2 linked regions of the Lonchura striata genome follow. The protein of the gene in region 1 interacts with the protein of each later gene in a pairwise test. Links are inferred from orthologs where the notes say so. Each region holds a gene or a part of one and is shown on either strand. Other genes may lie near its edges. The genes, in order: INSR and MAD2L1.

Region 1 (9,922 bases):
ACAGAGTGTTGATGCAGGAATGGCAGGAGCAGAACACTGGATACAGTGGCTCCTGTGGCTGGGCAGTCCCAGGTTTTGGGTACGTGCTCCCTTGGGTTTTCTTTGCTCTTTGTGCATCAGGCTTGAGAGGCTGTGAGCAGCTTGCCCAAACTGGCAGCTATTCTGCCAGAAGGGAATATCCTATGAAGAGTGAAAAGGAGGGAGTGGGCAGAGCAGGGTTCTGTGTGACACTCAGCATCACCTTCCTTCTCACTGTCTGCTGTAAACCTGCCATGAAACCTCAGAATTGAGTCTTATGATTTCTAGTTACAATTTAGTTTCTTTTACAAAAGAAATTCTTTCCTGTGAGGGTGGTGAGGCCGTGGCACAGGCTGCCCAGAGCAGCTGTGGCTGCCCCATTTCTGGAAGTGTTCCAGGCCAGGCTGGATGGGGCTTGGAGCAACCTGGGATAGTGGAAGGTGTCCCTGCCCATGGCAGGGGTTGGGATGGAATGGGATGGGCTTTTAAGATCCTTCCAAACCAAACCATTCTGTGACTCTGTGAACCGTAAAAACTGTAATGGCAGGGCTAGAGCAGCTCGGGGCAGGTACTCAAATGTCGCGGTCTGCAGCAGAATTCCTGATGTAATTCCCAAGTCCGGGGCCTGGCATGGGGCTGGCTGGGAGCTCCTGTCCTGACCTGCCCCACTGCTGGGAATCCGTGCACTTGCCGTGTGTCCCACTGAACGGGAGTGACATTAAACCCCAACGGCGCTAAATCAATACCACCTGTCACATGATGCCACCGTGACATTTCTGGCATGAGCACTCCCTCTAATAGGAGCTGGAACTGAGAAGCAGCAGCAGTTAGTGAATAATGGATCAGATACGGCTGATTTGTAACATTTACAGAGGGAGGGCGTGTCTCCCAGCGACAGAACAAACCGGTTATCAAACGGGAACTGGGAGTTCTGACTCGTCCAAAACACAAACCCTGAGCGGTGCGGAGCACAGAGCCAGGGTTGGGAACCCTGCTGCTGCCAGCACTCCCTCCAAATGAGACTCTGGATCAACAAAAACAGGCATTAGCGTCAAGAAATAACCAAGGAAGGAGGGGCTGGGGGTGAGCTGTGGATCAGAACTGGTATAGCTGGTGGCTGGGCTGGAAGCGGCGTGGCCGTGCTGGGGGCAGTGACACGGCTGTGGCCACTGCCCTGCACGTGGTGGCTGATGGAGAGCAGGGAGCCTGGCAGCAGGTTGTGCAAAACACACCTGGGGCTGCCTGAGGTGAGCAGCAGAAGCTGTAGGGAAGGATGGAGGATGGAGGGTGAGGAGGCTCAGTGGGCTGAAGGCCACATCTGTCTGATTTTCTTACATCTGGGCCCTGCTCACCAGACCCAGGTTGGGAACGCTGACACTACTTTGGTTTTTTCAAGCTGTAAACTTTGATGCTGAATTAGAACAAAGATATTCTTACAAGGAATTAAAAACAAGTTGAATATTGTGTCTGCCTCTGTGACACCCAAAAATCAAACTGCACAAAACCAGAAACTGGACCGAAAAAAAAGCTCAAATGAGGCAGTGCTGCAGTGGAATTTGCTTCCTTCATCTCCAGGGTCTTTGATGTGCATGTAGCAGAGAGATGCCCTCTGCCATTTTCACCCTGGTCAAAATTTGTATTTGTTCATGTAACAATAGAATTCTCCAGAAGGATCTGACAGGGTTTCCTGTTTCAACAGCAAAAAGCTGAGAAGCTGAGACTTCTGTCCTTAGCACATAAAGTGACCGGATCTCCATCCTCTGAGCCTCCTCACTGAGAAAAGTCACTTATCGGATTTGGTGTGGACGGAAGGAAGGGTAAGAAAGGAACTCTGTCAATCCATGACGTGAAATATTTTATATTAAGAGATTTGGCCAAGGGTGTTGTGTGACCCTAAACAGGATGAGATAATTTTCCAAGGTCAGCTCTCCTGTGCTCTCAGCGTTAGGTTTAGTCACCGCAAAGTCAATCCCGTAAACCTTTGCAGCAACATCCTGCCAGTGATGCAGAGACTTGGCTGTTGTTGGCTTTAACAGCAGCTCTGCTGCATCTTCAAAGGGCAGGAGGCTGCATAACGTGCAAATTGCCTGGTGAGAAATGTGTGAGCAGGAAAGAGTGCCTGGCACATCAATAAAAACAGTGCAACCTGAGCCATGGGGTAACTCTTCACCCAGGCAGTTGCAACTTGTTGTTTAAAGAAGGCCACAGTGAACTGGGGGAGCAGAAAGTGGGAATTCTGACCTCAGCTCAGCCCCAGGCTGCTGTGTGGCTTTGGCTCCTGAACTGGTTTTCAAGCAGCTTAGTTCTTAAAACAGAATTGGTACCAATGAACCTTCCTGGTGAGTCAACTGCTCCAAAGCTCCTTTGGGGCACAAAGTTTGTGTTCCTTGACTATTCCCAGGGTGGTTAATTAGTGAGGAACTTTAATTAGTATGGCTAAAGACACACAACCTAAAACCCACCCATGTGTTCCAGTGCATAGAGAAAAAGATGTGTTGGTTCTCAAGGTGTGAAGCTCTCAGCAAGCTCCATGTGTTGGTGCTTGGGAGCTGAGCTGGGTTCTCTCTCCACAGACACTTGTGACAGTACAAGGTTGTCACTGCTGCAACATTCAAGCTGCTTTACAAAGTCATTGTCCCTACCTGTGTGTGCAAACGTGGCTCCTGCTCCAGGGATGGGCTTCCAAGAGCTTCAGTCCTGAGCAGCATTGATCTGGAGGAGGGATCTGTTGGGAACTTGGTGCTCTTAGGTTGGTTTGATGTGGAGTCATCTGTAGGACAGAGCAGTAGACTTTGGACAAGGGATGGAGGGACAGGACACAGGGAGTGGCTTCCCACTGCCAGAGGGCAGGGATGGATGGGATATTGGGCAGGAATTGTTCCCTGAGAGGGCAGTAAGGGGCTGGCACAGGGTGCCCAGAGCAGCTGTGGCTGCCCCTGGATCCCTGGCAGTGCCCAAGGCCAGGCTGGGCAGGGCTTGGAGCAGCCTGGGACAGTGGAAGGTGTCCCTGCCATGGCAGGGGGTAGGATGGGATGGTCTCTAAGGCCCCTTCCAACCCAAACCATTCCATGATTTATGTAAGGAATGGATCAAACCAAAACAAATAAGTCTTGGTAGGGTCAAACAGATGGATACACTCTACTGCAAGTCTTTCTGTACTTAATTTTCTCAGGAGGATTCAGATCTGAACCCCCATGGTCTGTGATTGTCACAGTTCATAGCACTTATCCCTGCTTATTTCCAAGTTATTCTAACTAAAACATAAAACATCTGTAGTGGAGAGAAAGAAATATGACTGTTGCCAATATTTAATATATCAAACTGGTGATTTTAGTAGCTTCTTGAATCAGAAATAAAAGAAAAGCCTGCATTGCAGTTATTAGGAGAAAAAAAAACAGAACTCAAGAGTAAGCAGGTGTTGGCTTAGTTTCTAAGCGCCCACATTGCTCCTGTTGGTTTATCTGATTGCAAACCAAGTGCACTGTAGCGTGATGAATATGTAGCAGTGGATGTATGGGAAAGATGCTGGAAAGGTTGCACACTGATGTTCTTAATCAGTAATTAGAAACTAAAAATAGTATTTTAAGGAAAGATAATAAATCTGTAGCCTTTAATCCTCATATGCCAATGTGTAAACTGATATCATTATTACATGAAAAGCAATGAGAACATAAGTGAGTAAGCAAGAGCAGGTTGCTGTTACAGTCACAGTATAAATTCCACACAGCCCGAGCTGTCCAGGTGATGTTTGGCTCTGTTTTATGCAAAGTCTACAGTCATAAAGCAAGTTAATTTGCAAGCAGAGAATGCATACTTTTGTTGTTTATTTCCCTTCCTTAAGTGTCCTTACTTCCTGAAGCAGTTGAGCATGAGTGGGGTTCTGAGTCTCTCTGCACTTGTCAGCTTGAGGCAGCAGCATGGATTTGTGAAAAAAGGACAGAAACGGGGGAAATGCCATCCCATGACTGTGGTTCTGATGGGCTGAATCAACAGCTCCTGTGCTGTGCAGACACACATCTGCTGTGCTGATGACAGAGAAAGCATCCCCACTTAAGCAGAGCCTTTCATCTCAGCATTTAAATAGTCTGCAAATGCTGAGATGTAGTTATTGTTGCACAGGTACCATCCCAGCTAATCCTGCTTACACTGGTCAAATCAGGCCGCCGGTCTTACCCTGTCCAACAGGGAAACTTCAAACAGTATCAGGGGCTGAGTCACACCAGCAGAGCCACGATTTCACTGACCAGCCCTCCCCTCAGTCACACTGTGTCGTGTCCCTGGGACAACTGCAGTCATTCTTTACCTGGAAAAGCAATGCAAAATACTTTAAATAGGGTAAACTCATAGTGCAGACGAGGGGACTGAGGCACGGTGACCTGCTGGTTAACTCTGGCCTGCCCAGGGTCTCTTAATGTCAAGCAGAAGTGAGAGATCTGTTCTAAGCTAAAGATGGTGGGATAAAAATTGTAAAGAATGTCTATTTGCCAAGCATTTTTTAATTAAAAAAGGCTTTATTCCAGCAGTTTATAACTCATTTGTCTTGCAGAAATGGCTGAAAGCAAAAGCCAGATAAAATTACTGGAAGTTGCCAGGAAACGTACTGTCATGGCTTAGCACGAGTGCAGTGCAGAGATGATTAAAAAAGGCACCAAATGATGAATCCCACAGCAAAAAGAACCAGAAATCTGCAATGGCTCTTTGGGTTCTGTGATACTGAAAGCAGTGGCAGTGGTAGACAGTATCCTCATGACAAGCTCTGTCCAGTTCTGCGGGAGGAGGAGGGACACGGGCAGAGCCAGGGCAGCAGCCCTGCTCTCAGCCTGGGCTGTCAGCACTGGGACAGAGAGACAGAATCCCAGAATGGTTTGGGTTGGGAAGGACCTCAAAGCCCATCCAGTGCCAGCCCTGCCATGGCAGGGACACCTTCACTGTCCCAGGCTGCTCCCAGCCCTGTCCAGCCTGGCCTTGGGCACTGCCAGGGATCCAGGGTGGGCACCCTGTGCCAGGGCCTGCCCACCCTCCCAGTAAAAATATTTTCCCTAATCTCTCACCTAACCATGCTCTCCTTCCATTTGAACAAACAGCGAGGTCAGGCTGCTGAACTCCTGCGTTTCACTCGCTGCACGCTGCCGAGGCCACTGCGGCTCCTCGGGCAGCACCAACGGGGCTCACAGCCGGCTGGATGGGTGGGTGGGCGGACGGGCAGAAGGACGGACGGACAGAGGAGGGGTGGGTGATGGGTGGGTGATGAAGGGCGGCTGGATGATGAAGGGCGGCTGGATGATGAAGGGTGCCTGGATGATGAAGGGTGCCTGGATGATGAAGGGAGGCTGGATGATGAAGGGTGCCTGGATGATGAAGGGTGCCTGGATGATGAAGGGAGGCTGGATGATGAAGGGCGGCTGGGTGATGAAGGGTGCCTGGATGATGAAGGGAGGCTGGATGATGAAGGGAGGCTGGGTGATGAAGGGTGCCTGGACGCCGCCGCCGCTCCTCCCCCGGCCCGTCCCGTCCCGTGCCCGCGCTCCGCGCCGCCTCTTGCGGCCGCCCCGCCGGGCTCGCAGCTGACGGGGGCAGCCCCTTGTTTACCGGCCGGGGCGCCGCCAGCCCGGCCTGCGCTGCGAGGGGCCGCCGGGCCGGGGCCGACTCCGCGGGCAGGGAGGGGCCCGGCGCTATAAAGGGGCTCCGCGGGGGCTCCGCGGCGATGCTCGGCCGGGCCCGGCCCCCGCGCCCGCCCCGCGGGCTCTGATTCGCGCCGGGCGGCGGCAGCGGCGCGGGATGGGACCGAGAGCGGCGGCGGCCGCGGCGGCGCTGGCCGTGGCCGTGGTGCTGGGAGCCTGGTGCGGCCGCGGCCGCGGCGAGAGTGAGTCGGGGCCCGGCCGGGAGGGCTGGGGGGCTGCGGGCGGCGGCGGGGCGGGCCCGGGCCCGCCGTGCCCTTTGTACCTGCGCGGGGCCCGCGGGCAGCGCGGCCCGGAGCGCTCCCGGGTCACCTTCAGCCCCGGCCCGGCCCGGCGGCGGCCGAGATTGGAGCGGCACGGCCGGGAGGGCAGCGGCGGCCCCGGCTCTCCCGGCCCGCGGGGCCCCGCGCGGGCGGCGCCGGGCCGGGGTCAGCGGGGCCGCGCCCGGGGAGGGGCACGGGCCCCTCTGCGGAGCCGCTCCCCGGCCCTTCCATGGGCACTTCCCCCGTTCCTTCCCCGGTTCCTCCCCGGTTCCTCCTCGGCTCCCCTCCCCGGGCCCTGCCAGGGTCTCTTCCTCAGTCCCCTCCCCGGTCCCTTTCCCGGTCCCCTCTCCGGCCCCTTCCCTGGGTCCCCTCCCCCGATCCACTCTCCGGTCCCTTTCCCGGGTCCTGTCCCGTGTCCCTTTCCCGAGTCCTGTCCCGTGTTCCTTTCCCGGGTCTCTCTCCCGTGTCCCTTTCCCGGGTCCTGTCCCGTGTCCCTTTCCCGGGTCTCTCTCCCGTGTCCCTTTCCCGGGTCCTGTCCCGTGTCCCTTTCCCGAGTCCTGTCCCGTGTCCCTTTCCCGGGTCTCTCTCCCGTGTCTCTTTCCCGGGTCTCTCTCCCGTGTCCCTTTCCCGGGTCCTGTCCCGTGTCTCTTTCCCGGGTCCTGTCCCGTGTCCTTTTCCCGGGTCCTGTCCCGTGTCTCTTTCCCGGGTCCTGTCCCATGCTCCTTTCCCGGGTCCCTCTCCGCTCCCTCCCCGGTCCCTTCCCCAGTCTCTTCTCGGGTCCTTTCCCTGATCCTTTCCCCGGTTCCCTCCCCAGTCCTGTGCCCCTGCCGCTGCTCGGCTGCCTCAGAACCGGCTCCGGTTTCAGGAGGGTTTAGTGTGGCCAGACGCGGAGGTTTTGTCTTTAACCACTTTTAGGTAGTGTGCCAAATCCACAGGTATTAAGATGGGAGAGCTCCAGGGGAAGGCTCTGTGTGTACACAGGGGCTTGTAAAATACTGGACAGGGGTATGAAGATGTTGTGTTGGAGGTCACAAGCTTGTTAAACCTGCGGCTAGCTCCAGGTTAAGCCTTACGAGTTGTTTTGATGGGTTATGTTAAATAAACTTGCTCAGGAAATCCTTTTAATGGGAGGTTCTTTAATTTTGGGCGATTCTTGCCATTTTTTTTGACAAAAGGAAAATATTTATTTAAAGACAGCTAACTGGATCCGTGGGTCATGTCTCACATAGACAATCTACCTGTTGGCTTTCCCTTCAGAAAAGGCAAGAGCAAGAGAATCAGTTCAAGTACTGACAATACAGTGATGGACATTATTGGGATGTGTATGGGATTCAGGGAATAAGGCAGGATGCTCCTGTAAGACAGCCTCTTTTTCCAACAATAGGACAAATCACGTATTTCAAAAATAACCCAGTTTCTTCCCTCACACGTTTGAAACCTCACAAGAGTCCGGTGACACTGTGTTACCTTGGGAGGGTCAGTCCCAGCTGCTGTGGGCAAACCTGCCCGCCTCCAGCAGAGATGGAAAAGGCAGTTGACATATAGCACTAATAATAAATAAATACGTGTGCAACTGGAGTCCAGCAGTTCCTAATTTGAAAACACTATTATTACTGCCACGGCGCAGCCTGTGATTTGGTTATTTATTTAAATCATATTTGCTTTTTGGGGTTCAAGCGTGTCTATGTTCTAAACTCCCTAATCTTTGCTGTGTTACAGCGTGGTAGGAAAATGTTCTCTTGAGTTCATGGATGGAGGAACAGGGGCACAAGACAGCAAAGCAAAGCGTGGGCTGGAACATTTCCATATCATTTTTACTGTGCAAATATTTCATGAAATATTCTACAGACAGTTCGGACCGTCGGGGTTTTGATGTTTGAACGTGATTTAAAAGGTTTTCAGCTGCTCTGGTGTTTGATTCTATTTTCTGGGGGCTTGGCTCAGTTTTCTGGGAATGGTGAGGTCATGGAGCACCACAGTGGGGATGGAAAACAGAAACAAAAAACCAGAGGGGGAAATGCACGTACAAGAGCTGCATGAGCAAACAAGTTGTTCCCTGAGCAACGGGTCTGATTGAGGCAGCTTTCTTGGAGATCTGTGCCCTGTGTTCCCACAGACAGGCTCTGCAGGTACAAAATTCCCCCCATCCATGGTTGTCCTTGTGTCCCATGTGTAAATGTCTCTCCCTTTTGGTGCCTTTAGGCAGCCTTGGAGAAGATTTGGGGGCAAGCAGCAGGTGGATGGAGGTTGTTCAGTAGAAAAATGGAGTGGATGGTAAAATTCACATTTCCATCCGGATTATGAGTTTCTCCTCCTCAATCCATCCCATTTTCCTAAATATTTTAGGAATACTTCATGTGAGAGCACTCTTCCTCTCTTACATGTGGTTAAAGGTAGTTACTGAGTTCAGGAGTTACTGAGAGAAGAAGAAAGGGTTAAGGAAAGAAGGCCTGACCTGTGCATAAAATGAAGATCCATATATCTTGTTTTGGGAAGAAAGACAGTTTTGTGTATTTTTTTTTAATGACTGTGTAAACATAATGCAACTTCTTGAAATAAATCTCGCACATGACTCATGCCTGTCAGTTCATTAGCTCTGGTATTTGGGGTGGGATTTACCTCACCTAGTTTTAGGCATCTGGTAATGAAGCAGCTTCCTTTGGGCTTCTTTTCTGGTTAATAGAAAACTGATCAATGCAGTCATGGGTGTTTAGAGCACTCTTCCTCCCTTTCTGAACTCTTCCCCTAAATTTAGGAGCTGCACATGTGCTCCAGTACCTGCTGCTGATGTGAGAGTTGGGAATGCAGTTGAGAGATCTCTGCCTAAATCACCCTGTGGGACAAATTTCGCTGTGTATTGCTGTAGTAACACACTTTAAAAATAGGTTGCTTCTTAGTTAGTATCACATCTGGTTGATACAGATATTTTTGTGCTCGTAAACTCATTAAGAAACTGTTCCCTTGTCCCACCTCAGGCCTGAGTTAATTTTTTATGTTGAGACACTCAGTCTAGAATGAATTTTTTTATGAGACCAAAAGCAGGAATAAAGGAGAAAAAAGCATGAGAATAAAGTAGGAAAAGTGAGTGCAGAAGGGCAGGGCTGTACCAAACCCAGGCCCCAGCATGTCCTGTCCCTTTTTTGGGGCGAGGCAGCGCAGTGGCTGTCTCTGAACAGCGTAAAACCCCAGAGCTTTCTGGAGGTCACTTTTGGGATTATGGAATAATCCTTGTGGAATATCAATGATGCTGCTATGGGCAAGGTGTGGAACCTGTTCCTGCTGCCTTTGGAGCAGGGAGGATCCTCAGGTGTGTCAGCTCCAGCACCGCCGCCGCCGTTACCCCGAGCGATCCCGGGGTGCTGCCACCCCAGCACTGCTTATCTCTGCCTGGAAATGGGGCAGGACAAGTCCTGTTTGCTCTCTGGGTTTGGAATCAAGTGAGGGGAGCATAAAGACAGCCCAGCCCAGGCTTTAAAGGCCAGACTTGGAGGGGTTTGAGCGGTGAGAGGTATCAGGTACCTGAGATGTTCCCCGAGGGCTGAGGGTTTATAGGGGCTCATTTTGGAGTCCTTATCCAATTTTCTCAGCTCGAGATATCTGAGGTGCAGAAATGAAGCATGAAAATCCATATTGCACAATTAGATGGTTTTTATGTTTAGCAAACAATTGCTGCACTAGGCTAGGAGCTGTCACACAGTCCTTCCCTCTAACCTGCTACCAGGATGTTCTCCTGTCTCAGCAGTTAATCCCAAGAAACAACCAAAAATCCTTTTCCCAGTCTCCTAAAGCCACTTCTAAAAATCAGCTTTATGTAGAATTGCAATGCTTTTGACCCAACCCAAGCAAGTGTAATTTTTTTACAATAGTTTGTTTATTCAGTAGGCAGCAAAAACTACCAAGAAAAGCAGAATTAACCAATAGTTACCTCAAATGGTTTGTGTTCCTTCTGTGCCAGATTGCCCT
Region 2 (9,710 bases), on another chromosome or scaffold:
GTAGAAGCTGCAGAAACTCAATGTACATGAGCTTGGCAGGACCATTAAATCCTTTTGTGGAAATTTGTAATCTGCATCCAAACTGATTAGCCCAAGTTCATACAAAGTCCCAGGCAAGAAAGGATGGAAAAGGAGAGTGCTGACTCCCAGCTACCACAAGGGAATTTCCTCAGTAGCCAGACTGACTTGACCCTTCAGGTAAGAATTTACGCCTGGCCTACCTTCCACTGACTGTCAGATAGTGGACAAGGAATAGCTTATTTTGAGCAATAATGCCATGTTTTCACTCAAATCAGATTTCAAGGAAAGAAGACTGTAAGGAACAATTAACATCAAAGTGCTACTCACATTACCAAGCCATCTGGTTTCCATTTTTACACTCCTAGCAACATCACATCATGAGGTTTGGATGAGGCCTTCCACTGTGCACGAGGCACAGGTAACTGCTTTGAATTTGAATTTTGTAACTGGACTTCCAAATAGTGTTATAACATTCTCTAGATTTTCTCCTAAAAATTTTGCTGGTGTTGACTAACAGCAAGCAGTGAATTGGATGTCCTTCGGGGCTTATGAATGACTTAGAAAACCAAGTGCATTTGTTCAAATTGTACCAGCAAATCCTTTCTTCACTTTTCACATGTGATGCAGAATTGTATAAGCTTTGGTTTGTACCTGATACTTCCCACACTTACCTCAATGCTGTTCTTGTGCAAAGACAGCTTCTTTAATGGTAAAAGAAAAACTCCTGGCTGTATGATTCCCAGAGCACAGTTCCCTTTCCACTGAGAGGGGAGTTTTGGGTATGCTTTTTCCACATATCCAAAATAAGCCTTCTGGAGCTTTCCAATAGTCAAATTTTTGTTGATCTATATTCTCCCAAAATTTGGAAATTTCTGGGATGCCAAAGTTAAGTCATCAGTGCTAATAATCAGATATTGCCCTGATTTCCAGATAAAGGCATTTTTAACAGCTCATGTTACTTCTGGACTGCTCATGTTTGTTTGTGAACCAGCAGAGCAGATGAGTTCTGATTAAAGGCACACACAAAGTTCAAGAGTCAAGCATTTGTCTCCATGCTATGGGATGAGACTTGCAGCATGCACTGAGATGCAGGTATGGGATGGAGAAGAAGTGCTCAGGGTACAGTGGCCTGAGCATGCCTCATAAAGTATTTCAACTCTTTTCACTATTATAATTCATTGGTGACAAATTGTTCTTTTTTTTTTTTTTAGAATGGCATGCATAAATTTCTCAAAACATATGGAAACAGAACTTTTTCTTGAAATAAATCATCTTAATTGAATAATTCTTCATACCACATAGGAATAAATATCTTTAGAAAATCATTTTTTGCCATTTTCTGTCCAATACTTTGGAGAAAGTTGTTGTCAGTAATGATTATCATTCTGCCAACAGGACACCTAACTTGCCTGGAGATTTAACTGTAGGAAAACAAATATATATAAAGGATCTAATTTTCAAGTGGAAATAAAGGAAATATTCATATTTTTTGCCTCAAATGTTTCTAATGCCAATGACATGCTTTTCACAATGTATTTCCCTCTTCAGTCATCCCAATTCTCAGCCACTATGTAAGCTGCACTGTATTTCTTGCTGCACAATCAACTGAACAAGCCCATCATGATTATACATCAGAAGAAACACAATTAGAAAGCAATCATAAAGCAACAATTCCCATCTAACATGTTGCAACCACACAACAGAATCCTATCAAAATTCCATATGGTACTACCAAGCCGTATTTACTGTGCTACCAATCTTCTGGATCCTTTTCTCCTCATTTTCTGATGATCCACCAAAAGTCTCTGTTGACAAACCTATAAATGATAAATCAATGTTCCAGGGTACTTAAGAAGGCTCATTTTGAATTTAAAATTTAATAATACTGGCTCAGTAAATTTAAGCTACCTGAGAACTCCCTAGTTTTCTATTGATCTATTAATATGAAAACTTCAGATGTGACAGGAGCTAAACTGAATTGGATTAACATTCACCTTTCAAACTATAAACCTTCAGGTTGGGGATTAAGTAATGAAGGGGATTAAGCTGTAAAGAGCAGGATTCATTGGATTTCACATAGCATGTTACCAGTGTAATAGGACATCATCCAGCACTAAGAAGTTCTCAAGGCACAAAAAAACTCAGTAAAGTCCTGTTCTTCCCAATTCTGAAACCAGATTCTTATCCTCACATGAAATGTTTAAAGATAATAATTCCTTTGTTAAATTGTCTCTAATGCGACAGAAACCAAAGATAAACAACAAAACTGGGCATTAAGTATCCCCTTCATTCTGGGAAAAATATTTTAAATCTAGAAAAAGGTGTAAAACTAGTAAAGAACCTAACAGTGAAACTAACGGTGAAATCAACTCGCAGTACTCGAACCAAAACTGAAGGGGCGCAGATAACGCGTGTGCCTGCTGCCATCTCCTGGTAGAAAAATGTCAGGTCTCCGAAGGAAAACCTTCCCCAAAAACGGAAAAAGAACTTTATGTTCTACAGAAAATGCTTTCAAAACTCTCAAAATTTACAAGATTTTATTTCACTGTACAAGGCAGCCACTACCTGGACATAGCTCCTTACAAGCTAAATGGAGTTCTAACACTGGCTTAAGCAGAGAAACACCAAAGCTCTGTGATTTTTATAAAGGAAATAAGTACTCACCCGACTTACTCTAATTTAAAAATACATTCAGAAAATTAACTGTAGAAATTTACACACGGCATTCAAAATCAAAGGAAGTCGCTTTGGGAAGCCTGATCATCTTATTACAAGTTCTAGTGCAGATTATTGGCCCATACTGACTCATTTTAGTATCCATTTCTTTTCATGAATACTTGAAGTTCAAGACAATCTTTCACTGTTGTGCTACCCTCATTGCCTTTGATGAATTGCACAGAATTGATATTTGTAATAATATTCCATGTTTTATGTTCTAAAAATAGGATTAGCAAACTTGAAAAGAAATTTTATTTTGACAGCTGACAGAAGGCACCTGTACTTACCCTGCAAAATTTAGTGCCACAAAGACTGTTTTAACTTGCATTTCATAGGCTATTTTGCTGTTCTGGAGAGAAGAGACTTGTCCACATCCTCCCAAAGGTCAAAAGATAAACAAATAATGGGAATAAACTTTACAAGTGGATTATGTCTCCTAGGGTGCTGAATGACTGTGGGAATGTGACCTGGCGTGCCTTAGAAAAAATGATGGCATACTAGTGATTTGGATTGCCCATGGTTCACTGACAATTGCCATGGGGAAATAATCACTGAATGTTGCAGAAAAGCCAAGCTAAATGTGGAACATTTCCCTTCACAGAATGAGAATCCAAAAAATTGTGTTGCAACATCAAGCTGTAACTGAGAAACTGAACAATGACTGAAGAGTTGTAAGAGATCTAAATTAAATCCAACTGGGATTTCACATTCCTTATGAAAATGGAGGTTTTATCATGAGATGATTAAAGCAAGGATAGCCAACTCCTGGTGTGCCAGAATGTACAACTTAGCCTGTCATCCTGGTTCGTGAGAGTCCCTTGGAGCTGGTCAGGAAACAGCCTGTCACAAATCAGCCACTCGCCCTCAGCAGGATCCCTGGCAGAGCTGCAGAGCCCTCCTCCTGCTGGGCATTCCCAGCCACAAACTGCAGGCACTGTCTATGGAGCGTGGTCAGGAACATGAGGAAGGACTTGTGTGCATGTCCCCATCACACCTGGCCCGGCCATGGTCAGATGCCAGCTGCAGCTTACTTACAGCACAGAAGAAACAACACATTTCCAAAGGTTGTGCAAATTGCACCAAATGCAAAGGTGTTGGGGATTTGTTGTGGAGGAGAAGGGAGCACATCAGGGCAGAAACTGGTGCTAATCACAGCACAGAACCAGGGAGAGAAACGACCCAAAACTCTGAAATGCCAGGTGCAGGAAGCTCAGAGTTCCAACAGAGGTCACCAACCACTCTCAATGTCTGCCAGGTGAACCTTGTCAAAAGTAACGAGGAAGAAAATAAGTCTGACACTGATAAGCATATGCACCTGTGTGCGTGCAAACTATCCAAACTGAAACACAGACATTAACTTGGTAAACCAAGAAACACCTTGATTCCTTTCTTCTGTCTGATTTCAACAGGAAGACAGCTAGAGGAGAAATGTGTTAAATATTAATCAAAAGCTCTGCTATTCTTGCCTGGTCTCACGCTTTCAAGTTATTCTGTTTATCACAAAAATGAGCAACTCTTCCAAAACAAAATGGACAAGAAGCCAAGTGTAGGAAAAACCCCAGAGGACTGAGACCATTTGGGGATGGATAAATAAGAGCACCACAGTACATAAGGTTTTAAGCAAAACAGCTAATATTCACAGCAATTGAACTTCTAAAAGTTAGGCTTTGGATGAAAAATGCTTCCATTATTACAACCTTGGAAATATACCACTCTTACTCAGAAAATACTTTATTCAGAAGACTTATGTATAACACAATCACTAGTGAACAAGATCCAGAATAAATCTCCCCTGGTTAAATTAAATTATTCAGACCCTTTCAGAACTTCAGCACATGACTTCAGGACAATACCATTTGTTTTAATCACAGCAGCCTGAATCCTGAGAAAAACCATATTTCCTCTTGGATCAACACAGGAACCAAGAGAAAGCCTAAGCTTTTGTGGAAAAGTATTTTATTACAATAAATAAGCAATCACACCATCAATTCACTCTCTTAGCATCTGGCCCACTGTACTGTGTAATGATTACATGGTTTTTATTCTCAGTATAAATATTTGTGTTTTGAATACAACTTCATTTTAAGACTGATCAATTTGTTTCTTTTAAGGGTGATATGGTTATCTAACACAAGTATATCTTAGATGATAATATCAGATGATGCTTTGGAAAAATCACATTCAAGTTATAATTAATTTCATTTGCAGCTCTGCTCCATCCATAAATCCATAAATTTTCATTTTCTTGCTTACAATTGATTTTATAATCTAATTAGCTGGTGACCTTGTTACTATCCCGACAGACCATAACTTCCCCTCCTCATATTATTAACATACTTCAACATTTCCTTGTTTTTCTCAGTCTCTCTTACCTGTTAACCTCTGCCACAGCTTCCTCCAGGTGACGGACACTGCTGGTTGCAACATCTTCCTTGGTGTCCCTGTATTAACAGGACTAAAGATGTTTGACCAAGTAGCAAATTCCCTTCACCAAGGCAGCCCAACAACCCTAATGGTTCTCAACCCTTTATTATTTTTATTATTACTTCTGGAGTTGTTATGGATTGAATTAAATATTGTTTATCCACGTTCTCCCCACCTGCCTCTTCACACGTGGGGGGTGCTTGCAGAATAGTATTTTTGATTTCAAACAGCTACTGCATGACTTACACCATGAAAGCCACCAGTAAATCGTAAATGAAGTATTTGTTGAATTCATACCTGGAAAGTACCATTTTTAGGTTAGTACGGTCGAATACACCTCGGCAGAGTGAAACGCAACTTCCCACAGCATTCCCAAAGCAGAGCTCCTCACTCGCTCCACGCCCGCCCCGCGCTCCCCTCAGCCCCGCCCACAGACGCGCCAGCACCGGGAGCGGCCGGGCAGTTTAACAGGGAGGGAAAGAGCCCTTCCTCTCCCGGCAGGCTGCAGCCCGGTTTCCACGGCTAAGGGGCGCGGGGAATCGCCATTCCCGGAGGGAAAGCCGCCGCGGCAGCCTGAGGCGGCGCGCGCCCCCCTCCCGCGGCCGCGCGCGCGGGAAGGGGCGGGCCCGGGGGCGGGGCCGGATTCGAACCGGGCGGCGGGGAAGCGGCGGCCATGGCGGCGCAGCAGCAGCTCGGCCGGGAGCACCAGGGCATCACCCTGCGCGGCAGCGCGGAGCTCGTCGCCGAGTTCTTCTGTGAGGGGGCCGCGGGGCACCTCGGGGACCGCGCTGCGAGAGAGGGAGGGAGAGAATGGGGGTGGGAGGGGAGGGGGTGGGAGGCCGCGGCTGGTGGGGCGACATGGCCGCCGGCTGGGGCGTGGGGGGGGGTGGCTTGGTACACATCCCTTTCCCTCTCCGCCTAAATCGTGCAGCCTATGGAATCAACAGCATCCTGTACCAGCGGGGCATCTACCCCCCCGAGACCTTCACCCGCGTGCAGAAGTACGGGCTCACGCTGCTGGTCACCACGGACGCCGAGCTGGCCAACTACCTCAACAACGTGACCGAGCAGATGAAAGGTGCGGGCCGGCGGCGGGGCGCTCCCTGCGGTGTCCCTGCCGCTGCTTCTCGCGCTCTGAGCGACTGCCCCGGCTTCTTGCAGAGTGGCTGTACAAGTGCACCGTGCAGCGCCTGGTGGTGGTCATCTCCAGCATCGAGAGCAGCGAGGTCCTGGAGCGGTGGCAGTTTGACATCGAGTGTGACAAAACTGCAAAGGATGACAAGTGAGTTCCACGGTCCCTCCACTCCTGCGCTTCCCTATCCTGAGTACCTGGGCAGATCAATGCCACGGACTTGTTCCTTCAAAGCTTTCTCAGTGCCCTGCCCTCTGTTTGTCTGCAAAACAATAGAGGGAGAGCAGCTATCACTTAACTTTTCTAAGGACTTAAAAGTGTCACTACTACTCTAAAAATACTCTAGCAAACAGACTACCAGAGCTTAACAAAGATAACTATATTTAGAGGAAACTGTCAGTGCAGTAGTAGTTTCTTCTCTTACCAGAATTTTCTTATTTTTCCAGTGGACCACGGGAGAAATCTCAGAAGGCAATTCAGGATGAAATTCGCTCTGTCATCAGACAAATAACTGCCACAGTAACCTTCCTGCCACTCTTGGAATCTGCCTGTGAGTATTCCAAAGTGCACTAAAGAAATAAAATACTTTTGAAAAACCTCAGTAACTTTCCAACTTCGGAAAATATTTTTCTGAGGCTTTTTAATGATTACCCATTGTGCACCGTCAGGTTTGTGAGACAGCATGAGATCAAGACAGAACTTGGTGTGGCTTAACGAACTTGAGGAAATTAATGTGTTTGCCCTGAGGAATGCAAGTTTTCATGAATAATTTGCTCCTATGAAATGTTATACAGAGCTCATCTCCACAGCATTGTAACATGCTTTAAAAAAAATTACAACACAATTTAGTTATTGAGAAAACTAAAAGGATGTCACATTAATGTAACTTTTGGGTTGGTTTTTTTTTTTTCACATAACTAGTATCAGTGTAACTTCTGAAAACCTTGATCCTTGTCTCTAAGTCTAGAAGCTGCACTTCAAAGCTGCCACCATGTCCTTATGGTGAATTTGTTTTCCCTTGCTCCCAGGTGCCTTTGACTTGCTGATCTACACGGATAAAGATTTGGCAGTGCCAGAAAAGTGGGAAGAGTCAGGACCGCAGTTCATAGCCAATTCAGAAGAGGTTCGGCTACGTTCCTTCACTACCACAATCCACAAGGTCAACACTACAGTGGCTTACAAGAAGGATTCTGTTCCCTAAGATGCTGGGGCAAGTTTTGTGTGTGTAAATATCCTGTCACCTTGTATAGTTTCTGTTCATCATGCAGCTAAGCTATGAGCACATCATTACTGTCCTCTTGATAAAAGTATGACAAAAAGACAACGTGCATGTCTGTGATACTGTGACACTAGACTAACCTGGCATTTTTAAAGAGATTTAAAAAAGGTACTTATGGTCATAGTTCAATTCTTACTTTACTGTATGTAAAATAAGCTAAACTAATGGTGTGTTAAACCACTGCCTCTGCTAGAAAAACTGCCTAAATCTAGGATTAGTTGCTAGAGTTGTATTATTCTTAAACTGCATTCTGTTAGCAGTCTTAAATTCTCTGTAGCAACTAAAATAATCTCATTCCTAGTGTGCCAGTTTTCATGTTAGAAGCCTGGGCTGTTTTATTACCAGAAATAACCCTAAAACAAATCAACCAAACAATTCTTGTACCACTCTACAATGGTAGCAGCTGTTTTATCAGGAAAACTTTAAACACATGAAGCCTTCTATTTTAATGACCACTGGGCTCTGGTTCTGGGGACACAGTTGTTCTGTGTACGTCTGTAGTGTCTGTCCAGCGTTTTCTATGTTTCTATTCTTGGTTACAGAATAAAGCTTCGGGTTTTATGTTCTCTAATTGAGAGTCTACAGTTCTTGGTACTTCAGATGGTTCCATGAATGCTACATTCTAGTTTATAACTGTCACACAAGCAACACCCAAGACATCCTCCTTGTTACTTAACTGTTTCCTTCCTGAGTCTCCATGTGGTGTGGACTCTGTATGAAATCCATTAATGGATTAACACTTTGCTCCCACCTAAGTTTTCAAGCAACAGTTTAAACAGTCACAGTGAACTAATGACACTGCCTTCCATATTTGTTAAACAGCACTGGACTCTTTCATGTGTTCTTACCATTTCTGTAGTGGAAGAAATTAGGGATTTAAATCTCTGGAACTTTCAGACTTACATGGTTTTGTTCACTTCCTTCACTAAATTCATTCCAGCCAGAGTGTTTAACTGGTTTTTCCACTCTTTTACAGTGATGCAGAACTTTCTGTTATAATAATATAATTTCAGAATTTTATTTAAAAAACACAGATTACATATACCCTATCCCAGGACTGTATTTCTTGCATTTTCTTATTTCCAGGAAATACTTCTCCCCAGCAGTCCCAATACAGCAAAAGAAAAAAAAAAAAAAAAAAGGCAAAAAAAAAAAAAAGCTCTTTAAATCAGGACCACAAACCCTTAATTTTTAAAAAATAAATACAATCCAGGTACTTAACAAGTGACATTATTCACGGCTAGGGCTTGTGCTGCAGTAACAGAGCATGGTGTTTTCTTTTTTTTCTTTTGCCTATCAGCACAATTGTGACTGCACTACCCCTTTCACCCCCAGAAGCACATCAAAGAGTGAAGTCTGTAGTAGTGTGCATAAAAAACACTTATTTTACAGAGATGCAAATGTGAAATTGCTCCAAGAAGCTCATTCTTGTACCAAAGAGAATTTATCTTCTTTAAGAAGGGCCAGCCCAAAGTCCATCTCCATCATCATCTTTGTGTTTCTTCTTTTATAGAGGCACCAGCAATCAAGAGAAGTTGCATACAGATCACTGCATGTAGATAATGTCCACAAAAGGTACATGTGAAAAGGAACAGGTCATAGATCCCAGTTTTCACAAAATCCCTGCAGAATAGGGAAGAAAATATAAAATAAAGTCATATTATCTCCCAGGAGCCAAGCCTTCATGGAGGTGTCCAACTGCATGTGCTGATCCTAAAGGGATCACTCTTGATTAGTTTCTCCTACTCTGAGGTCAGTTTTGCAGAGTGACAAAACCAAGTGAGCACCCCATTCATCTTCAATGGCAGTCTGGTTGTCCTTAGGACAGGGAATGAAGGGTAAGCTTCAGAACTAACCCAGCAGGCACTGCTCACCTGACTAGTTGAGCTGACGGATGAGCTGGTTGATTGCATCACCTCTGTAGCCAGGCTTGCCCATCTCCTTGAGGAAACCCACTCTGTTCCGTGATGCGTGGCGAGCCACTGACAGGTGGAACGGCCACAGAAAGCTGGTTACTCTTTTGAAATACTTCCCAGTTGAGTAGATTTCATGAATAAGGTCTTCCAGGCAAATGATATTACAGCCCCCTGTATGAGGGAAAAAAAAAGATGTCCAGCTGTATAATCTTTCCTCACA

What was found.
Region 2: the proteins of INSR (region 1) and MAD2L1 interact in binary tests that used the Homo sapiens proteins (3 or more experiments, as listed by UniProt). The link is inferred for Lonchura striata from reciprocal best matches to the Homo sapiens genes INSR and MAD2L1.

What each region holds. Positions count from the first base shown.
Region 1 is NC_134630.1:3,806,148-3,816,069, reverse strand, and holds the start of INSR (insulin receptor), read left to right. Parts: upstream 1-5,784; 5' UTR 5,785-5,796; coding exon 5,797-5,881; intron 5,882-9,922. UniProt on the Homo sapiens protein: Receptor tyrosine kinase which mediates the pleiotropic actions of insulin.
Region 2 is NC_134606.1:70,013,494-70,023,203, forward strand, and holds MAD2L1 (mitotic spindle assembly checkpoint protein MAD2A), read left to right. Parts: upstream 1-5,791; 5' UTR 5,792-5,836; coding exon 5,837-5,918; intron 5,919-6,094; coding exon 6,095-6,241; intron 6,242-6,324; coding exon 6,325-6,445; intron 6,446-6,741; coding exon 6,742-6,845; intron 6,846-7,323; coding exon 7,324-7,496; 3' UTR 7,497-8,145; downstream 8,146-9,710. Other genes in the region: RPL7L1 (ribosomal protein uL30-like), read right to left, coding at 9,453-9,661. UniProt on the Homo sapiens protein: Component of the spindle-assembly checkpoint that prevents the onset of anaphase until all chromosomes are properly aligned at the metaphase plate.